2 linked regions of the Xenopus tropicalis genome follow. The protein of the gene in region 2 purifies or fractionates together with the protein of the main gene of each other region. This does not show direct contact. Links are inferred from orthologs where the notes say so. Each region holds a gene or a part of one and is shown on either strand. Other genes may lie near its edges.

What was found.
Region 1: the proteins of rrm1 (region 2) and rrm2b purify together in Homo sapiens (affinity purification with western blotting; 3 studies listed by BioGRID and IntAct, counting the BioPlex papers as one, with this or other methods). This does not show direct contact. The link is inferred for Xenopus tropicalis from reciprocal best matches to the Homo sapiens genes RRM1 and RRM2B.

What each region holds. Positions count from the first base shown.
Region 1 is NC_030682.2:131,289,920-131,293,729, forward strand, and holds part of rrm2b (ribonucleoside-diphosphate reductase subunit M2 B), read right to left. Parts: intron 2,055-3,810; coding exon 1,960-2,054; intron 1,341-1,959; coding exon 1,207-1,340; intron 944-1,206; coding exon 839-943; intron 1-838.
Region 2 is NC_030678.2:178,116,160-178,120,560, reverse strand, and holds the start of rrm1 (ribonucleoside-diphosphate reductase large subunit), read left to right. Parts: upstream 1-1,439; 5' UTR 1,440-1,509; exon of another isoform or gene 1,510-1,541; 5' UTR 1,542-1,627; coding exon 1,628-1,646; intron 1,647-4,401. UniProt on the Homo sapiens protein: Provides the precursors necessary for DNA synthesis. Catalyzes the biosynthesis of deoxyribonucleotides from the corresponding ribonucleotides.

The sequences.
Region 1 (3,810 bases), on a different chromosome or scaffold from region 2:
TGTGGGGTTAAATATAGAAAATATGTGTAACACCCTGCAAGGATCAGTTGGTACCTCCCCGCTAGCCCTGCTTATGAACAAAAGGAACAGGGAGGGCGCATTAAATAAAAATATGTACCATACATAGACATTGTTTCCGATCTGGGAGTATAGACTGTTCTGGGTGTATCATTTGGATATTAGAAATTTTAGGTGCTGCAAACCAACATAACTAAAAATTCCAATATCCAAATGATACACCTACGACAATCTATTTCCTGCCCTCTCTGCCCTTCTAACATCTAGATCCCAGCCATCAGGGGCCCAAGCAGCTGCCTTATTTACTTCAGCTTTGTACTGTATGGTGGGCAATGAGGCCAATGCCAGGGGCCAATCTGTACGGTGCCAATAAGTACGTTCCACGGACAGATCACAAACTCCAGACCACAGATGTAAAGCTGGCCATACACTTCAGATTTTAGTCTTCTTGCGATGAACGTTTGGATATCAATCGTAGGTTTAAACATTTACTAAAAAATTACTGAAACTGTAGGATAAAGCCCTCAAAATAACAAATCGGAGCATGTTCTGAACATGAAATAGTTGGCAGAATCGTATGAAAGTGACTTCATGGAAATGCATTGTAGGTCCCCCAAGGCAATCGTCAGATACACGTGCACAGATTTTACGTGCACAGATTTTATCGTTATCTGACGAAAGTTTCCAATCTAGTCATTCGACTAAAAGACTTATTGCCACGGTACGAAAATTATTGGGATGATTCGGAGCCCACACAGAGCCCACATACGCTCTAAAAATTGTATGAAACTATTTTATTGGTGGCCAGTTTATGGCTTACCTGCTCAATTCTGACTGCATTAACAATAATCTCAGTGACTCGCTCTTCTGTAGGCTTCTTAACCAAGTAATGGAACATCAGGCAGGCAAAGTCAGTGTGGAGACCCTGGAAATAGTCACAAAAGGAAAAAAAATTGTGGTTGAAGAATTACATAAGTACATATAAAACTCATTATTCTAAGTACAAACGGGTTGAAGATAAGCATTACTTAATCATAAAATGATCTTGACCGTGGCCCTCAAGGCCAAAGCTAGGGCCTTTGAGATGTTGTTGAACCTCCCATGTCAGCCCCATCTCAGGTTCCCTACCCCCAAGGTCACCTGATCCCTGTGGCACCTATTCATTATACTTCTCAGGAGAGATCTTACCTCATCTCTACTGATCAGCTCATTGGAGAAGGTGAGTCCAGGCATGAGTCCCCGTTTCTTTAGCCAGAAAATAGCAGCAAAGGATCCAGAGAAGAATATTCCTTCTACTGCAGCGAATGCCACCACTCTCTCTCCTGGGAAATGAAGAAATGTTAATAGAAGTCATAAATAGCTGTGTTTCCCCCTGAAAACTTTTGGTTCTTTGACGCATGTGATATACCAGAGACCCCCAGCCTGTACGTCTGACTATTCTCCAACTGCAGAACATCTTTTCCAAACTTAAGTAAACACCTGGGGACCTATAACAATTTGGCACAAATTATATAAAATGTAATATGCAGTATCACAAATCTGGTTTTCCTACAATTACTGTACATATGTAAAGCAAACCCTGTTTTCAGTGGCATAACCCCCTATTCAGACGGGCCCGGTGCACAGCGAACTATACCCGGATACCCAACCCCCGCCAGCATATCCTGCCTGCGTCTACCCTCCCCAGCTGCTCTACTACTTTCGTGTGGGGGGGTAAAGCTTTTCAACTATAGAGGATGCAGACCCCTCCTGTTGCCTGGGTCCCCGTGACCACCACTGCCTGTTTTAACTACCCCCAATCTGTATCACCTCTTGGCTTTCCAATCCGTGGGGCCTCTTTATGCCACCAAGCCTGGGCATTCCTATGGGTCAGCAAGTAGATTTACAATAAGTTCCACATTCTCCCTGTAAGCAGGCTCCCAATCCAAACAGCTAACTTACCAAAGGAAGCTTTCCGATCGGATATCCACCTTAGTGCCCACTGCGCTTTTTTCCTTACACAGGGCATCGTTTCTATGGCATTGAATAAAAACTCTCTGCAACAAAAAGGAAGAAATAAAATGAAAGCCTATTATTTCCAGGGGTGGAACTAGGGATAGGCATCAGAGGCAAGTGCCCAGGGCACAGAATGGGGGCAGCAGGCTCAGCTTTCTGAAGCAATCGTCCACCTGATCAACCTGCAAGGGGAAACAGAACCCAAACGCGGATGGGTAGGTGAGGCAAGGTGCCAGTACTACTCTGCCCAGCTCTGATTCTTTCATATAGTCTTCTATAAAATTGCCACATGTCACCCTTCCTGCTGACAGCTACATTTTTGCATTCAGGAGACTTGGAGAGAGCTGTGCAACAATGGCATTTTTCTTTGCACTATTTACTTCCTGCTCTGTTTAGAAACCTCCCTGCTCATCATCTTTTCTTTTTTCTCAGTGGCTTAACTACCCCATTTCAGCCATTTCAGCAACTGGCCCTTCGTATCCCCGTACTTCCACTCTAGCAGCATGACCTAGCACCCCACCAGATGTGTTCTGTCATCAATGGGGTGCAGCCATAAATAAAAGCTTCTGTATTAGTGGCAAATCCCTACGTTTCAGGGTAACTCAAGCTATGCAGTTAGGCATCTTAATTCTTCTATAAAATGAAAAGCTCACAACAAACTCGCTGTTAGGTTCCCACATGGCAATATTGGGATGTGAACTTGGTAAATGTGGTCACACTGAATGGCTATAAATGCCACTGCAGTTCAATAAAAGGAAATGTAAGCCCTTGGAACAAATCCATGTTAAATTGCACAGAGCGCTCTTCTAAACACTTTAGCAGTTTACATGTTATTTTCTAGTTTTTGAGACAGTGACATTCTCCGTGTTTTACAGAGTATTAAGTGTATATTTATCATGCTGTGTAAAAAGTGGAGTGAAGCATTACCAGTGACCTTGCTCACAGCAGCCAATCAGATGTTTTGCTTTGGATTTCTAACTGTTGAAATCTAATTGCTGATTGGTTGCCCTGGGCAACATCACCGGTGAATATACGGCCCTAAGAGTGAAATATATGTCCAGAAGGTATAAGCTGCTCACATTCCAGTCAGAGAAGGCTCTTTTTGTTTTCACTGTCAGTCTGGGGACTGCGTATTTAATCAATGGGTGAAAGTGAGAGTTCACCATTTGATGAATACACTGCTAAAAATCCCATTGGAATGAAGAGAACAAGGGTGTGTTTTTCTGCAATAAGCCAGGGGTCCCCAACCTTTCTTACTCGTGAGCCAAAGCCAAAAGACTTGGGGAGCAACACAAGCACCATAAAAGTTCATGGAGGAGCCAAATAAGGGCTGTGATTGGCTATTAGGGGCCTCTATGCACACTATCAGCTTACAGGGGCTTTATTTGGTAGGAAATCTTGTTTTTATTCAACCAAAACTTGCCCCCAAGTCAGGAATTCAAAAATAACTACCTGGTTTGGGGGCACTGAGAGCAACATCCAAGGGGTTGGTGAGCAACATGTTGCCCCTGAGCCACTGGTTGGGGATCACTGCAATAAGCTCTCAACTCTTTGATAAATCTGCCCGTTCATGTTGCTGAGGGCTCAGCACTACAGAGAATATAGTTACATAGTTACATAGTTACATAGGGTTGAAAAAAGACCTGTGTCCATCAAGTTCAACCCATCCAAGTAAACCCAGCACACCTAACCCACACCTACCAATCTATACACTCACATACATAAACTATAAATACAACCACTAGTACTAACTGTAGATATTAGTATCACAATAGCCTTGGATATTCTGATTGATCA
Region 2 (4,401 bases):
GGGGGCCCAGAAGATGTTGTTGTGAGGGGCCAGTGATTCCTGATGGCCCTGGGGGGCCCTGCTGGCTACCAATGTACTAGGGCGGGCCCTGCTGGCTACCAATGTACTAGGGGGGCCCTGCTGGCTACCAATGTACTAGGGGGGGGCCTGCTGGCTACCAATGTACTAGGGGGGGCCCTGCTGGCTACCAATGTACTAGGGCGGGCCCTGCTGGCTACCAATGTACTAGGGCGGGCCCTGCTGGCTACCAATGTACTAGGGCGGGCCCTGCTGGCTACCAATGTACTAGGGGGGGCCCTGCTGGCTACCAATGTACTAGGGGGGCCCTGCTGGCTACCAATGTACTAGGGGGGGCACTGCTGGCTACCAATGTACTAGGGGGGCCCTGCTGGCTACCAATGTACTAGGGGGGGCCCTGCTGGCTACCAATGTCTCATATCTGTGAGTCCCTTGTACCGGTGGGAGGGGGGGCCCAGAAGATGTTGTTGTGAGGGGCCAGTGATTCCTGATGGCCCTGGGGGGCCCTGCTGGCTACCAATGTACTAGGGCGGGCCCTGCTGGCTACCAATGTACTAGGGGGGCCCTGCTGGCTACCAATGTACTAGGGGGGGGCCTGCTGGCTACCAATGTACTAGGGGGGGCCTGCTGGCTACCAATGTACTAGGGGGGGCCCTGCTGGCTACCAATGTACTAGGGCGGGCCCTGCTGGCTACCAATGTACTAGGGCGGGCCCTGCTGGCTACCAATGTACTAGGGCGGGCCCTGCTGGCTACCAATGTACTAGGGGGGCCCTGCTGGCTACCAATGTACTAGGGGGGGCACTGCTGGCTACCAATGTACTAGGGGGGCCCTGCTGGCTACCAATGTACTAGGGGGGGCCCTGCTGGCTACCAATGTACTAGGGGGGGCCCTGCTGGCTACCAATGTACTAGGGGGGGCCCTGCTGGCTACCAATGTATTGGGGGGGCCCTGCTGGCTACCAATGTACTAGGGGGGGCACTGCTGGCTACCAATGTACTAGGGCGGGCCCTGCTGGCTACCAATGTCTCATATCCGTGAGTCCCTTTGTACCGGTGGGAGGGGGGCCAGAAGATGTTGTTGTGAGGGGCCCATGATTCCTGATGGCGGCCCTGCACACACTATACCAGAGCCCAGCGGAACAAACTACAAGACGTTATTATACCATAGTGCTGCCCGGCGGTACCAGCTCTCTACCCCCTCACGTTACACGCCGCCTTTCCCGCCGCTCCTTCCTCACGTACAGCTCCTCCCTTTCTCTGACGTTTAGTTGATAGCCCCTCCCCCTCAGTGTCAGTTAGAGGGTCCCTTGTAGCACGATTGGTTGGAATGGCTGTCAGTCACAGCAGGTTCAGCGTGGTTTTTGTGAGGAAGCGTCACACCGCAGCCCCGCCCCCCTGCGCGTCACTAACACGGGCCGGATTGGCGCGGAATTTGTTTGTTGGGCTTCGCGCCTTTTCCTGACAGGATTGTGGGCTCCGGTCTCAGCGCTCTGTCCGCTTGTCTGTCTGTCCGCTTGTCTGTCTGTCCGCTTGTCTGCTCCCTCCCCCCGGCCCGGTGCGACCCATTCCCGTCTGAGCTGACCCGGTACCTGAGCCCCAGCGGCACCATGCATGTCATTAAGCGAGGTGAGTGCCCCAGGGTAATAACCCTTCTGTTCTGCCCCCCCGGCCCCTTCTGTTCTGCCCCCAGTCCTGCCCAGTCCCTGTGCCACACTCTATGCCAGTGCCCAGTTTTTCCCTTTCCTTCTGTCACTGTACTTACCCCCATACACTCTGCCTGTTTATTTACCCTCTTCTACTCTGTCCCCCTCCCCTTATATAGCCCCCCCTGCGCCCCCCTCCCCTTATATAGCCCCCCCCGCGTCCCCCTCCCCTTATATAGCCCCCCGCGTCCCCCTCCCCTTATATAGCCCCCCCGCGCCCCCCTCCCCTTATAATAGGCGCCCCCGCGTCCCCCCTCCCCTTATATAGCCCCCCCGCGTCCCCCTCCCCCTTATATAGCCCCCCCGGCGCCCCCCTCCCTTATATAGCCCCCCCGCGTCCCCCTCCCTTATATAGCCCCCCTGCGCCCCCCTCCCCTTATATAGCCCCCCCCGCGTCCCCCTCCCCTTATATATGCCCCCCGCGTCCCCCCTCCCCTTATATAGCCCCCCCCGCGCCCCCTCCCCTTATATAGGCGCCCCCGCGTCCCCCCTCCCCTTATATAGCCCCCCGCCGCGTCCCCCTCCCGCTTATATAGCCCCCCGCGCCCCCCCTCCCCTTATATAGCCCCCCCGCGTCCCCCTCCCCTTATATAGCCCCCCCCTGCGTCCCCTCCCCTTATATAGGCCCTCCCCGCGTCCCCCTCCCCTTATATAGCCCCCCTGCGCCCCCTCCCCTTATATAGCCCCCCCGCGTCCCCCTCCCCTTATATAGCCCCCGGCGCCCCCTCCCCTTTATCAGCCCCCCGCGTCCCCCTCCCTTATATAGCCCCCCGCGCCCCCTCCCCTTATATAGCCCCCCCGCGCCCCCCTCCCCTTATATAGCCCCCCCGCGTCCCCCCTCCCCCTTATATAGCCCCCCCGCGCCCCTCCCCTTATATAGCCCCCGCGCCCCCTCCCCTTATATAGCCCCCCGGCGCCCCCCTCCCCTTATATAGCCCCCCCGGCGCCCCCCTCCCCTTATATAGCCCCCCGCGCCCCCCTCCCCTTATATAGCCCCCCGCGTCCCCCTCCCCTTATATAGCCCCCCCCGCGTCCCCCTCCCCTTATATAGCCCCCCGCGTCCGCCCTCCCCTTATATAGCCCCCGCGTCCCCCTCCCCTTATATAGCCCCCCGCGTCCCCCTCCCTTATATAGCCCCCCGCGTCCCCCTCCCCTTATATAGCCCCCCCGCGTCCCCCCCAAGCCCCCGTCCCCCTCCCCTTATATAGCCCCCCCGCGTCCCCTCCCCTTATATAGCCCCCCCGCGTCCCCCTCCCCTTATATAGGCGCCCCCGCGTCCCCCTCCCCTTATATAGGCCCCCCGCGTCCCCTCCCCTTATATAGGCCCCCCGCGTCCCCCCTCCCCTTATATAGCCCCCCCGCGTTCCCCTCCCCTTATATAGGCCCCCCGCGCCCCCCTCCCCTTATATAGGCCCCCCGCGTCCCCCTCCCCTTATATAGGCGCCCCCGCGTCCCCCTCCCCTTATATAGGCGCCCCCGCGTCCCCCTCCCCTTATATAGGCGCCCCCGCGTCCCCCTCCCCTTATATAGGCGCCCCCGCGTCCCCCTCCCCTTATATAGGCGCCCCCGCGCCCCCCTCCCCTTATATAGGCGTCCCCCTCCCCTTATATAGGCGCCCCCGCGCCCCCCTCCCCTTATATAGGCGTCCCCCTCCCCTTATATAGGCCCCCCGCGCCCCCCTCCCCTTATATAGGCGCCCCCGCGTCCCCCTCCCCTTATATAGGCCCCCCGCGCCCCCCTCCCCTTATATAGGCCCCCCGCGCCCCCCTCCCCTTATATAGGCCCCCCGCGCCCCCCTCCCCTTATATAGGCGCCCCCACGCCCCCCGTCAGCTGATTCTTCTAAACTGGGCCCTGTGCCCTACCCTCCTCCTCACTGTGCCCCAGGTAGCCTTGCCCCCCCCCCCCCCCCCCATTCTCACTTGGTTCATTCTAGCCCCCCCCTTCCCTTTGTGCCATTCCATTCATCCAGCTCCCCATTTGCCCCCTGGGTGCCGGTATATCCGTACTGTGCCCCCACCCTCTCCCTCCCACACAGTCTCCAGTTTTTATTCTATTAGACATTTAGCTGCTTACAGGTTGCAGGGAGTGGCCGGTACATAAGGGAAACTATTACCCAATCAGTACTGAGCAGAATTCTGACTGTAGGGCATGTTACTGGGAGGGGTTGGGTGCTGCAGTATGGGGGGTATATGGGAAGGGTTGGGTGCTACAGGATGGGTGCTATATGGGTAGGGATGGGTGCTATATGGGTAGGGATGGGTGCTATATGGGAAGGGTTGGGTGCTACAGGATGGGTGCTATATGGGAAGGGTTGGGTGCTACAGGATGGGTGCTATACGGGAAGGGATGGGTGCTGCAGGGTCGGAGTTGTATAGGAGGGGTTGGGTGCTGCAGAATGGGGGTGCTATATTGGAGTGGTTGGGTGCTGCAGGATGGGGGGGGGGGGGGTACCGGGGAAGGATTGGGTGCTGCAGAAGGAGGTGGAGGGGTGAGTAGTGGAAAATGAAGTTATTGGGTAGTGAGGTGTAATTGCCTATAATTAACCAGAACTGTTTATACACTCTTAACTAAAGTAACCATTACCGCACCCATTATCCTTGTACTGATGTAGCCAGTGTGCTGGCACTTGCTATTATGATTGTGCTGGGCCTGCTGAGTGCCGCTCTTACTCTGCCA